Linked DNA regions of Callithrix jacchus. The protein of the gene in region 1 interacts with the protein of each later gene in a biochemical or structural test. Links are inferred from orthologs where the notes say so. Each region holds a gene or a part of one and is shown on either strand. Other genes may lie near its edges.

Evidence for each region.
Region 2: of the proteins of RB1 (region 1) and CASP7, one has a biochemical effect on the other in vitro, tested with the Homo sapiens proteins (2 studies listed by BioGRID). The link is inferred for Callithrix jacchus from reciprocal best matches to the Homo sapiens genes RB1 and CASP7.

What each region holds. Positions count from the first base shown.
Region 1 is NC_133502.1:67,482,082-67,489,628, reverse strand, and holds part of RB1 (retinoblastoma-associated protein), read left to right. Parts: intron 1-1,826; coding exon 1,827-1,931; intron 1,932-3,026; coding exon 3,027-3,140; intron 3,141-3,241; coding exon 3,242-3,405; intron 3,406-5,437; coding exon 5,438-5,468; intron 5,469-7,547. UniProt on the Homo sapiens protein: Tumor suppressor that is a key regulator of the G1/S transition of the cell cycle. The hypophosphorylated form binds transcription regulators of the E2F family, preventing transcription of E2F-responsive genes.
Region 2 is NC_133513.1:106,664,880-106,671,891, forward strand, and holds the end of CASP7 (caspase-7), read left to right. Parts: intron 1-2,253; coding exon 2,254-2,480; 3' UTR 2,481-3,850; downstream 3,851-7,012. UniProt on the Homo sapiens protein: Thiol protease involved in different programmed cell death processes, such as apoptosis, pyroptosis or granzyme-mediated programmed cell death, by proteolytically cleaving target proteins.

The DNA.
Region 1 (7,547 bases):
TGTAGCTTATATCAGTACTTCATTCCTTTTTATTGCCGGATAATATTCCATTGTATGGATATACCATATTATGCATATCATTCATAAAGTGATGACCATTTGGGTTGTTTCCACTTTTTGGCTATGATGAATAATGTTACTGTGAACATTCATGTACATGTTTTCATTTCTCCTGGTACATACCTAGGGGTAGAATTGGTAGGTCATATGATAGCTCTATGTTAACTTTTTGAGGAATGCCCAGATCATTTTCCAAAGTGGCTATACCATTTTACATCCCTACCAATAATATATAAGGTTCCAATTTCTCTATATCCTCACCAACTTTTTAATCTGTGTTTTTTTTTATCATAGCCATCCTAGTGGATATAAAATGGCATCTCAGTGTGCTTTTGATTTGCATTTCTCTGAAGGCTAATGATAACACCTTTTCATGTGTTTACTGGCTATGTATATATCTTCTTTAGAGAAATGTCTATTCAGATCCTTTGCCTAATTTTTTTTTTTTTTTGAGTTGGGAGTCTTGCTCTGTTACCCTGGCTAGAATGCAGTGGCACAATCTCAGCTCACTGCAACCTCCCTCCAGGGTTCAAGTGATTCTCCTGCCTCAGCCTCCGGAGTAGCTGGGATTATAGGTGCACACCACCACATCTGGCTAATTTTTGTATTTTTAGTAGAAACAGGGTTTCTCCATGTTGGTCAGGCTGGTTTCAACCTTCTGACCTTGTGATCAGCCCACCTTAGCCTCCCAAAGTGCTGGGATTACAGGCGTAAACCACCACCCCCAGCTCAAATCTGAAGTTGTTAAGATTTATTCCTGTTTGTCTCCAAAAGGTTTATAGTTTTAGTTCTTACATTTAGGTTTTGCTCCATTTTGACCTAATTTTTTAATATAGTTGAGGTAGGAGTCCAGCCTCATTCCCTTGTTAGTGAATATCTTGTTGTTCCAGCACCAGTTGTTGAAAAGGTTTTTTTTCTCTTGTCATTGACAGTTGTCAAAAAATCAGTTGACTGTAAATATATAAATATTTATTTCTGGACTCTTAATTCTGTTTCACTGATCTACATAAGCTATTCTTACGCCAGGACTACCCTGTCTACACTTGGCTAGTAGAATGCCAAGCCAAAGATGATTTTTGGCATTCTTGCCAATAGTAGATGAGAGCAAGAATGTTGCAGAAGTAATGAGTACTTAAATTAGGCTATAAAGTTCATACAAATAAAGTCTGACATTTAAAGTCACAGGGAATCATTTTTAAATATCTTCTATTGAAATGTAATACACATATATAAAAACCTGCATCTCAAAAGGATACCTTCTAATGAAAATTCATCAACTAACTTAGTTATATAACCAACATCCAGATCAAGAAACAAAACATTGTCAACAACACATAAGACTCTCTTACATGCCCTTCCAGTCACCTTACCCTCACCACTACCACCAAGTATGTTCAATATTATCTGCTAGTTTGAAACATTTTAACACCTGGCTTTTTTAAGTGCTAGTTATGCAAAATTAACTGATTCTAGTTTCAACTTTTCTGGGAAACATTTAAGGGACAGGAGCCAAAGTTAGGGTAATTTACAAACCAGGTGATCAGTCCTAAATAATTGAGCCTTGGTCATTTGCATTTTGTTCTTTAAATACACTTTGGGTTAAACACTTCATGTAGAGTTTCAAATTGAGCTCAGTATGGAAAGAAATAACTATGTAGGAAATTAAACTTTTCTTTTTTGAGGCTAAAAGGAAGAAAACTATTTTTTTTTAGAGCAAAACCACATAATAAAATTCTGACTAGTTTTACATCATATTTATTTACTAGATTATGATGTGTTCCATGTATGGCATATGCAAAGTGAAGAATATAGACCTTAAATTCAAAATCATTGTAACAGCATACAAAGATCTTCCTCATGCTGTTCAGGAGGTAGGTGATTTTCCATAGTAAGTTTGATAAATCCATATCTGTAATAAAGATAATTTTATTCATTCACAGGCTCATATATTCTGATCTTATGTAAATTTACAAATAAAAATTTTTATATTATTTATTTGTAACTTAAATGCTTAAATGGAATTGGAAAGATAAGATAAATTATGAAATTATCCATATTCGTGGTTTTTTTATAAATTTAACAAGTAATGCTTTATCTGTGTAATAAGCAAGTATTTATAATAAACCTGGCATGAGTCATAGTACATTAGATGATCTTTTATTTTTATTACTTTATAGGAAAAGTCAGCATAAATGCAACCTTGCAAAGAAATAATAAATATGTTCAGTATAAACACATTTTGTATTTCTAAACACATTTACCTTCCCTTTAGAGAAACAGGAGTAGTAAAATATACTTGGTATGACACGTTTCATACGGTTCTGTGGAAAGTGAGTTGTGGGATATCTTTCCCATTTATTATTAGAGTTTTCAAAAGTAATACAAACCAAGTCATTTTTGTTTGTATGTTTGAAGTTATTTTAAATTCAATCATTTAAGTGTATAATGTGTCAGAGGCATTTGATATAACCTCTGTGTTTTTACCTAACTAAAATTTGAGTGAAATCTAACACTAAAATATAGTGCTTTTACTAAGTGTCTACTTCCTGCAATTGAGTAATGCTATTTAAACCCTTATAGAATGGGGCGATACAGGGAGGTACAGGCCAGAGGATATAGTCTAAATATTAATGGATAATGTCATTGGCTTTCACTTAGTTCTGGCCCTTTGATTCCCATAATGCTTTCCATTCTACCAGCCTGTCTACTCTCTCTTCTTGGATGGCCAGCTATTCCATCTGCTGCCTGGCTGTTTTTCTCAATAATCCTATGACATTTCGCTTCTAGTAGAGCATCTATAATTCAAACCTAAGAAGGCATTTTAGATTATTTTTTCCTGTATAATATGTGCTTCTTACCAGTCAAAAAGTTTTACAAACTTTTAGAAAAGAAAATCTAAAGGTAGAAATTTTAAAATTAATTTAACAAGTGAATTTTACTTTTTTTTTTTTACTCTTCTTCCTCAGACTTTCAAACGTGTTTTGATCAAAGAAGAGGAGTATGATTCTATTATAGTATTCTATAACTCAGTCTTCATGCAGAGACTGAAAACAAATATTTTGCAGTATGCTTCCACCAGGGTAAGTCAAAAGTATCCTTTGATTGGAAATATCTAATTATAAAGTAATGGGTCCCATTAAAACATTAAATAAATAATACTACTTTTTTGTTTTTGCTCTAGCCCCCTACCTTGTCACCAATACCTCACATTCCTCGAAGCCCTTATAAGTTTCCTAGTTCACCCTTACGGATTCCTGGAGGGAACATCTATATATCACCCCTGAAGAGTCCATATAAAATTTCAGAAGGTCTGCCAACACCAACAAAAATGACTCCAGGAACAAGGTGTGTGTATTTTCTCGTTAGAGAGGTAGTAAAGAATGAAAGGGGGATAATTTTGATCCAAGAATAAAAATACAACGCTTTCTTCATTTCAAATAAGCTAGACTCTTGAGTCTATTTGTTTATTTAAGTAACATAATGAGAATCTAGGGGGAAAGAAAATCTATTTACTTGGATGGGTTTACAAATTTAGTTATCAGATTTCCTGACTGCTAGGGGTATCTTCTTTTGTAAACAGTTTTTGAACCAGTTTGGTTATATGTTTCAAAACACTTTAATATTTTTGTAAGTAGTCAATCTGCTAAACAATGCAGGTTACTTTAGGTTGAGTACTTTTAGTTTGTAGTTTATTGGATGTCCTATAAATTTTGCTTCCTGTGGATTTTGTTCATTCTGCTGGTTATATTAAATGTAGATTACTGTCAATTAAGTCTTTAGAGGTCCATTCCTAATCCTGTTGGCAACCTCTTTACCACCTTACCTTGGGCAGGTCTCTATCTCTACTACACAAGGGTGCTGTGGATCAGCAAAATGATTAGTATGAAGCTGTTTTAAATTCTAAGATGAAAGGTTGTGTGCAACTATAAATCATTATATTATCTTCCCATCCAACCACAAGTGCTCTCTGGCTTTGAAGTGCTTCAGTTGACTAATTATATATTATCAGGGGCTATTTGAAACTGACTTTATTTGTGTAAAGTAGGAGGCAGATTAGCTAGTATAGTTAATGTAGTCTCATTTCAGAAATTGTCAGCCCATATGGTTGTCCCTCATGGACAAGAAAAGGGAGATATATTAGTCTTTTAGAAAATATTTGCATGGTATATTTAATTATTTAAGTAGTACATACTCATGGTAAAAATTGCAAACTCTACAGAAAAATATGAAGTAATAAATAACTGGCAATATGATACAAATGCTCTCATGTGCCTCTATATCATCCTTTATTTATTTGGTGTTCTTATAGTTGGATATCTGTGTACTGACTCCTTCTACTTGTTCCAAGCTGTTAAAATGCCACGTTATCTCTATATAAGAAAATTTACAGGCCGGGTGTGGTGGCTCACACCTGTAATCCAAGCACTTTGGAGGCCAAGGCGGGCGGATCACCTGAGGTTGTGAGTTCAAGACCAGTCTGACAAACATGGTGAAACCCCGTCTTTAAACAAAACAAAACAAAACAAACAAAACAAAAAAATTTATACAGTCCCATGCCACTGTATGAAAATGTATACTTAGGTAGTTTTTTAATAGTGATTATTAATCCATATTATGGTGATAATGATGGCTACTTCCTGATCCTTAGTGAAATCAATTGTGTTGTATTCTTTAGCAAAAAAGTCACATTCTGAACATTCTAACTAATAAATCATTGATCAGGCATTAGGAGAGCATTATATTTAGAATGATGACCACTTATCAAGGAATTGGAGGACAAAAAAAAACTTTATATGCACTAGTTCCATGTTCATGTTTTCAAATCTTTGTTGAGTCATGTCAAGCTAATGATGTTCTTCAGCTTTATTATCAAGAACATAACTTATATGGTTTAAATAAAGACAGACTAATAAAGATTTCTGACTATATATTTGATATATGATAACTAGCCTTTACTATACCAATATAGATGCTAATTAGAATTCTGATTATTAATATTCTAAGTTTTTGCCAAATATAACTTGAATTTTAAATGAGAAAATATGAAAGAAATTTGATAACTTACTCATTGATTTATGAAGAACTAAGTAGGGGTAAACTTGAAAATTTCCTTTGCTCTCCTTAAATATGGGGAATGGCAAAATATGTTCTTGCAGACCTATGGTTTTTGCTTTAAAACTAAGAGACCAGGTGAGTATATGATTAAATGGGCACTGTTAGAATAATCCCCAAATGAATATAGTTTGTCAGTGGTTCTAGGGTAGAGGTAGCCTTTAACTTGGAATTCCTGATAGTTCAGAATAGTATATCTATGCTCATCTCTGCAAAATTGTACATGATTTTTATTACTAATTGGTATTTCATCTTAACTTGACAGAATCTTAGTATCAATTGGTGAATCATTTGGGGTGAGTATTTTATTTCTATGAAATGTAATAGTACACATTGTAAGTATAAAAGTAATTAGAGTTTTCTATAATTTGAATTTGCAAATACAATTATTCAAACACCTCACTCAGGCATATTGCGTAGAATTTTATGAGATATATATATCTCAGATTTACTTTCAAATCAAGTTTAATCTCCATTTATACTCCTAACTAGTGAACTTCAAAACTTTTCTAAATATTCCTTTGAGATTATATAATACACATATATACATTTGTGTGTATACATGCATATATATGTGAGTTGTTTTTGCTCACACTTCTATCACCCAATATGTGAGATTCTTTTTTTTTTTTTTCTCAAACAAATCTGTTCTTCAACTCTCTTGTGTTCTACAATTCAATTTATTTCTAACACTAATTACCCAGAGTCAGCATCAGACTCCACAGGTTCAAGGGCTCAGTCCCACAAAACTGGTCTCACTGCAGACACCCGTCACAACTGTCAGGCCCCCAGGCTACACCACACTTCCATCTGACTTGGATACAAAGTTAGGGGGTTCCCATGTGCCTCTTCCTTAGGTTTGATCACTTGCCAGAATTAGTCACAAAACTCTGGAAAAAATTTTACTTATTATTATCAGTTCATTATAAAAGATGCAAATGAACAGCCCAATGAAGAGGTATTATACAGGGTGAGGTCCAGAAGAGTCCCTAGCACAGGAGCTTCTGTCCCAGGGAGTTGAGGTACACCACCTTCGCAGCACTTGGACATGTTTACCAACTCGAAAGGTCTCCCAACCTTGTTGTTGACAGGTTTTTATGGGGGTTTCATTATGTAGGCATAACCAATTAACTCAATCTCCAACCCTCTCCGCTCCCCGGATAGAGGGTGGGGCTCAAAGTTCCAAGCTTCTACTCAAGACTTGGTCTTTCTGGCAACCAGCTCTCATTCTGATTAGCCAGGTCCCCACCAAGTGTCACCTCATTAGAACAAAAGATGCAGGCCGGGTGCGGTGGCTCAAGCCTGTAATCCCAGCACTTTGGGAGGCCGAGGCGGGTGGATCACGAGGTCAAGAGATTGAGACCATTCTGGTCAACATGGTGAAACCCCGTCTCTGCTAAAAATACAAAAAATTTGCTGGGCACGGTGGCGCATGCCTGTAATCCCAGCTACTCAGGAGGCTGAGGCAGGAGAATTGCCTGAACCCAGGAGGCGGAGGTTGCAGTGAGCCGAGATTGCGCCATTGCACTCCAGCCTGGGCAACAAGAGCGAAACTCCGTCTCAAAAAAAAAAAAAGAACAAAAGATGGTCCTATCACCCTTATCACTTAGGAAATTTCAAAGGTTCTAGGAGCTCTGTTCCAGGAACCGGGGACAAAGACCAAATATCTTCCTATGATACTATGTATGTATGTACATAACCTCGTATGAATTATGAGAATGATTTGAAATGACATACTCCAAAATGTAAGCCCTACATCCAAATGTCACCAGCCTGTCCCTGCGTCTTCTCTTTCCATACATACACACTTTTTGTTTGTCCTTCCTCTCAGACTTCTCAGACTTCTAGGATATTCTTTTTCTGGTACACTGGTTAGGAATTGGTTACATGAGACTCTGACTCAATGAAAGTGGCAGGGCTTCATTCTAAGAGATCCAAGGGAAAACTTTGCTTTGAAACATTTATTCTAGACTGCAAATCCTCGACTCTAGTTGACCTTCCATTAAAGTCGCTAATTCAGCAGTCTCAGATTCAGTACGCATTACTATTATTATGTTGCATTGCACCATCTCCACACTTTCTGAGAGCATATTTTTAATTTTTTTTTAATTTTAATTTTTAGAGACAGTGTCTCACTCTGTCACCTACTCATTGTAACCTCAAACTTTTGGGCTCAAGTAATCCTCTCACCTTAGCCTCCCAAGTTGCCAGAACTACAGGCATGCAGCACCATGTCCAGCTAATTTTTAAACTTTTTGTAGAGACAGGGTCTTGCTATGTTGCCCAGATTGGTCTTGAACTCCTGACTTCAACAATCCCCTGCCTCAACCTCCCAGAGAGAGCTGGGATTACAGACGTGAGCCACTGCACCTGGC
Region 2 (7,012 bases), on another chromosome or scaffold:
GTGCTTTACAATACAGAGTATCTTTCATGTGTCTTTTCTCATATTATCCTTATAATAATAGCATACATATTTAGGAAAGGTATTATTGCTGTCCTGATTTTACAGATAAAAGAATTTTCAGTTTAGATGAGCTTACGTGATTTCGGTATGCAGTGGAGCTGTGGCTCAGACCAAGGTTCCTTTACGCTGCAGCCTGTACACAGGTACCAGAAAATGCCAGTAATGGGCAAGCCTACTCACTTTACCAAGTGCCACATTAGACTGAGTCTGTACAGTGAAAGTCCTTCCTTTGCTTTGGGTACAAACCAGCACTGAGTTAGAATTTTCCCAGCTGTGCTAGTACTTTTGTCAAGTGTTTGGCACAAAGGTACTGGTTACAGTAAGTAGGACGGTGTGTTTGGAAAACCAGCTCTAGCAGCATCTACAGATGGGATTTTGTGAGAGCGATAATTTCACAAGTTTTAAGGATGGTATAAGATAGAAAATAATTTGGTCTTCCTGCTCTTGAGAGGGAGGTGGTGTAATGGAGGCATATGTCTGCATAAACAAACCCAGTGGTAGACTTGTAGGTGCTCTGAGCAAGGAGGCAGATGAGAAAAACCATGTTTTATTTTTTATTTTTAATCATATATATATATATATTTTTTTTTTTTTTTTTTTTTTTTTTTTTGGGAGTCTCACTCTGTCGTCCAGGCTGGAATGCAGTGGCATGATCTCGGCTCACTGCAACCTCCACCTCCCGGTTCCAGCGATTCTCCTGCCTCAGCCTCTTGAATAGCTGGGATTACAGGCACACGCCACCATGCCCAGCTAATTTTTATATTCTTAGTAGAGATGGGGTTTCACTACATTGGTCAGGCTGGTCTCAAACTCCTGACCTTGTGACCTGCCCGCCTTGGCCTCCCAAAGTGTTGGAATTACAGGTGTGAGCCACCCCACCTGGGCAAGAAAAGTGATGTTAAAAAGGAGCTGCTGTAACTGAGCCTAAAATTTCAAACAACATGGGTAAGAGAAAGATGGCTTGTCAGATGGAGTGCTGAGGGGCCAGATACCCCAGTGCATTTGGTAAAACTCAGGGCTGGATCAGAGTATATCAGTTCTTCTTGGGCTGCTATAGCAAAATACCTTAGAGTAAGTGGCTTAAACAACAGACGCTTATTTCTCTAAGTTATGGAGACTGTGAAGTCTAAGATCAAGTTGCTGGCTCAGTCAGTTTCTGGTGAGGGCCCCCTTCCTAGCTCATAAATGTCCCTTCTTGCTATGTTCTCACATGACAGAGATTGACCTAGACAGAGTGAGGCCTCTGGTGTCTCTTCTTATAAGGACACCAGTCCTCTTGGATCAGAGCCCTACCCTAGTGACTTCATTGAATCTTAATTACCTCTATAAAGGCCCTGCCTTTAAACAGTCACATTATGGGGTGTGGCCTCAACAAATGAATTTTGGGAAGACAGTTCAGTCCATACCACAGGATGTTGCAGAGCATGGCCAGGGTCAAACCAGGACAGGGAGGCAAGTGGCCCTACTGTGGTGGGCCCTGTGTGCTGTGCCAAGCAGCCTGAACTTTACCCAGATAATGTGGGGAAAGGAAACCATTTTAGGTTAGGGAGTTATAGGATGAGATTTCCCCTTCCAGGGCATCAGGCTCTCCTAGCCCTGCCCCTCAGACAGTTGGGCATTCAGCTTCCTCGTGCCGCTAGATTTCTTCAGCAAGATCCAACTCTACTCCCCTGTATCCCAGCAGCAGGAACACATTTTCCGAGGTTCTCTGCAAATTCTTTCTCTAGTAGGCTTGGATTAGAAAGTAGAACAGACCCTGAAAGGGTGGTGAGGAGTTCCAGAGTTATGGAATAGACCTCTAGTATTTCCTTTGGAAGTCTGCACATCCAGATCTGTCTCACACTGTCTCACACCCATGTATCTGAGGTGTATCAAGTGGGTACCTCCATCAGAACTGACACAGGAAAGGACCCTGGCAACATCCACCAATGCTGGCCCTTAGTGATGTCTGTCGTTGGATTTCCATGCTGAAATACCCAAAGCGCTTTTCAGCATCTTCATGCCAACCCTCTAAATCTCAGATGTTTGCTCTCTGAGCACACTAGCATAATTCTCATTAATGACTTGTGTGCAGAGTAGGGTGAAACTGTTTCTGAAAAGCAGGTGTGAAAGCCCATCCACTCATTCTCATTGGTGAGTGGAGCAGCTGTCAGAATTAGCTGATTTGATTGTCTCCTTTCTTTCCTGTTGAAGGCTATTACTCTTGGAGGAGCCCAGGAAGTGGCTCCTGGTTTGTGCAAGCCCTCTGCTCCATCCTGGAGGAGCATGGGAAAGACCTGGAGATCATGCAGATCCTCACCAGGGTGAATGGCAGAGTGGCCAGGCACTTCGAGTCTCAGTCTGATAACCCACACTTCCATGAGAAGAAGCAGATCCCCTGTGTGGTCTCCATGCTCACCAAAGAACTCTACTTCAGTTAATAACCATACCAGGGGTGCATTCTAGCTGAGAAGCAATGGATCAGGTTCTTTTTTTTTTTTTTTTTGATGCTCTTGAAATATTGAGAAATTCTCCAGGATAATAATTTCAGGAAAATGTATTAATTCAACAGGGAAGAAACTTTCTGGTGCTGTCTTTTGTTCTCTGAATTTTCAAAGACTTTTTTAATAATGTTATTCATTTGGTGACTGTAACTTTCTCTTAAGATTAATTTTCTCTTTGTATGTCTTTTACCTTGTTATTAGACTTAACACATGCAACAAAAGTGACCTCTGGAGAAGGCTCATGCCTGTGTCCACTGTAATTGGTGGTGACATTGGTAGTCGGAGCCATCTTTGCACTTGGTAAAGAGAATCCCAGTGTTTGACAAAACACAGCCAAGGGGATATTTACTGACCTTTTTTCGGAATGTGGATATTGAGTGTGATCTGAATGATTTTTCATTGGCTTAGGGCAGATTTTGATGCAAAAATTCCCAGATAAGTTCAAGGAAAAAAGTTTAATGATTCTGATATGTATCTGTCAGGGTCCAGTCTGGAAAGCAAACTAGAAACAGAAACACCATTCTACGTGTTTCAACAGAGGGAATTTAATACAGGAAACTGACTTACATAGATGATAGAAGAAAAGCTAAACAGCAAGAAGCTGTTTCCACACCCAGGGCTATGAGGATAACGGTTTCCTGAATCCATAGTAGGGTCATTCAGAGGGGCTGGAACCATGGTGGGGGCTCCCTAGGCGGAGCTAGGACCACCAATGGATTGTGAAAAGCCAAGCCATGACAAGGACAAAGCCACTGCCTGAGATGGAGTGAGCTGAGTCAGTTACAGAGAATACTTTGGTCTCACCTCTCCTGCTCTCACATCTTCCACCAGCACCTTATCATTCCAGGACTACCTGGAAGCCACCTTGCCAAGGCCCTTGGAAGAGCAAGGGACAGTGAGGCAGGAGAATGACAAGAAATGAATAAGCCTGGCCCATAATGTGAACATAAGTAATCACTTTCTCTAATGTTCAACAATTCATCCATTCAATCATTCATTGGGGTGTCAGATGGTCTACATATGTGTAAAATAATCTGTTTTGGCTTTATGTGCAAAGTCTGTTATAGCTTTAAAATATATCTGGAACTTTATAGATTATTCCAAGCCTCATTTTGAGTAAATATTTGTTACTTCTAGTTCTATAAGTGAGGAAGAGTTTATGGCAAAGATTTTTGGCACTTTGTTTTCAAGGTGGTGTTATCTTTTGAATTCTTGAAAATTACTGTTTTTTTTTCTCCCTAGTAGTAACTGGTTAACAAACAAATGTTCATATTTACTGATTAAAAATGTGGTTGCTTAATTCCTAACCAGTCTTGTTTACTTTCCTTTTGAAATTATTTATTGTGATGGAAAAATGAGAAAACAGGATAAGAATTGACCCTATTGGCTGGGCACAGTGGCTCACGCCTATAATCCCAGCACTTTGGGAGGCAGAGGTGGGTGGATCATTTGAGGTCAGGAGTTCGAGACCAGTCTAGCCAACATGGTAAAACCCCACCTATACTAAAAATACAAAAAAAAAAAAAAAAAAAATAGCCTGGTGTGGTGGTGGGCCCCTGTAGTCCCAGCTACTCAGGAGGCTGAGGTAGGATAATTGCTTGAAACTGGGAAGTGGAAGTTGCAGTGAGCCAAGATTGTACCACTGCAAAAAAAAAAAGAATTGACCCTTTTGGCTTGACCTCAACACATAATATATAATTTTTTTTGAAGTTAGTACACTAATAAAATAAGTAATCACTTGGGAAAGCCGGGACTCCTCACATAAAAGGTCAATCAACTTAGAAAGAAGTTTGTGATGGGCTGCCATTTATTAATTTTGACAATAAAATTAGACAACATAAAAGTATCTTCTTTCAAATAAGAAAACTAATTTCGGGTGAGTTTATTAGACCTGTCCCTGGTTTCCTGCCATCTAAAATATTCTAAATGTACAAAACCGGAGATCATAACAAGCATCTACCCTACTATTCCCAGAATTCACAGGCCGTTCTTTGGATAATAAGCTATCTATTAAAGGTCTCTATCATATAAATCAAAGGGCCTACGTGTATTGCAGTAAAAACCATAGCAATCTAGTTATTTGCCTTTAACCTTCATTAAAGGGAAGAATGCTCCCAAGTGTCAGGATTAATTTTTCCAGATCTCTCTAGGCAGTTATAGGTTGCAGATAATGAATATTACCGTATATCCCAAAGACTTTTAATAGTTTTAGTCCTTGAATGCTTCCATGGGCAGACCCTTATTTATTGAGATCGGAAACCCTAGTTCAAGTTGGGAATGTCATACCACCTTCATTCTAAACTTTCCAGACTTTCTATATTCCAAAAGTCTGATGACCAGTTACCCTGCAGGAGAACTCAGTCCTGGTGAATATACATTCCAAGTTCTCATGATTCAGAACCCCAATTCCTCCTTGCAGGAGTATCAGACAGGGCACTGCCCTTGTCCCAGACTACAGCTTCCCCACTGGCTTTATGAACCCAAAGCTGGATTTCTGTTTGTATTTTTGTTTTCCTCAAAGTGCCATTAGGTTAAAGTTTTAGCTATTGGGCCACGTTCGGTGGCTCATGCCTGTAATCCCAGCACTTTGGGAGGCCAAGGCAGGCAGATCACCTGAGGTCAGGAGTTTGAGACCAGCCTGACTAACATGGTGAAACCCCATCTCTACTAAAAATACAAAAATTAGCCAGATATGGTGGCAGGCACCTGTAATGCCAGCTACTCTGGAGGCTGAGGCAGGAGAATCACTTGAACTCAGGAGGTGGAAGTTGCAGTGAGCTGAGATCTTGCCACTGCACTCCAGCCTTGGAGACAGAGCAAGACTGTCTCAAAAAAAAAAAAAAAGAAAAAGAAAAACTAACCATATATATATATATATATATATATATATATATATATATATATGAACTATTAATACATTCACAGACAGCTTTCGGCTCTGCCCTAGGCTTTTTCTCTGAGCAAATTTCCAGCAGCCATCATTGGCCCAATACATTTATGAATTGCTACAAATCGGTCTGAAAATAAAGTCCTGGGGTCACTGAATTTACATGATTTAAAACTTCAAGGAAACCAAGGCCTGTCTGTGAAAAAGAAAACAACATCCACTCAAACATCCTAGACATGGACTGACAAATCCTTATTTTGCCCAGTCTTGCAAGTGCATCACCTGAAATTTATTACCAGCTACTCTGGTGACCCACGGATTGATTCCCTTTGACTTCTTGGAAGCACACCTCTTCTGCCAGCTTTTCATCTTTCAGGCCCTTTTCTAGAAACATCTGGCCAGGTAAGAGGCTGTGTTGGTCATCAGTTTACAGCAACAATTCCTCTGTGTTAATTGGCCAGTGGAGAAGTAGCTGCAGCCCAGGTATCCTTAAGAGTCCTTCAAAGACATGCGGATTGGAAAGCGCCTTTACACAGTTTGCCTTGTACATGTTTTAGTGTCTTGCAACACTGAGCGAATGCCTGGCCTGGGTGCATCGGCATCCCCTGGGAACTTGTCAGAAATGCAGACTCTCAGGCCCCGCCCCAGACCAACTCAATGTGAATCTGCATTTTAACCAGACTCCCAAGTGACCCATGTCACATTACAGTTTAGGAAGCTCTGTTTTGTGGGCAAGGCCCACATGTATGTACGTATTTTTGTTCTCCCCCTGCCCTGCACGTGGAGCTGATAGGACATGCCTACAAAGAATCAGAAAAATAATATTTTGGAGCTTTCATGGAAGACAGGTTTTCAAGCTCTTCTAACCTCCCGCAAAACCCTGTTTTAAAACTCCATGATACCCTTAAAGTACATAGTACACCTTTTACATTCTTTGCCCATTTCCTTTTTAAATAAGCCTTTGCTGAGTGGCATACAAGGATTATTTAAAGGTTCTCAATGTGTCCATGAATGTGAATTGCAGCCTTTAATATGTTTTCGTAAACATTATAGGACTAAAGGAGCCATTTCTTGCATGTATTTATTGGTGGCAGGACTGCCGAGCATTGAAGCTTAAGAGCTTGTCATTTCCACCTGTCATATCCCCAGAGCCCAGTGGACACTGGGAAGATTATTATTTCTCTTTGCCAGCGTGCCCTCAGGCCATAGGTCCCTTTTTTGATAGATCTCAGGGCTTTTTTTGGATCAGGTGACAAATAATTCCTTTTGATTCATGAGTCATTAACACAAACACACCAAGGACGTATTTGGAAAGCCCAGCCACCACCACAGTACTGATGTGGACATGGAAACTCCATTAGCTTGTAGGTTCATGCATGAATGGCTCTCTAAAATGATTTGGTTAATCTTGTTTAATCTGGTTAAAATGCAGATTCACAATGAGTAGGTCTGGGGTGGGGCTGAGAACGGTATGCAACAGAAAGGGGGAAAAAAATGTGCAATCTACCCATCTGACAAAGTGCTAACATCTAGAATCTACAAGGAACTTAAAAAACAAATTTACCAGAAAAAAACAACCCCA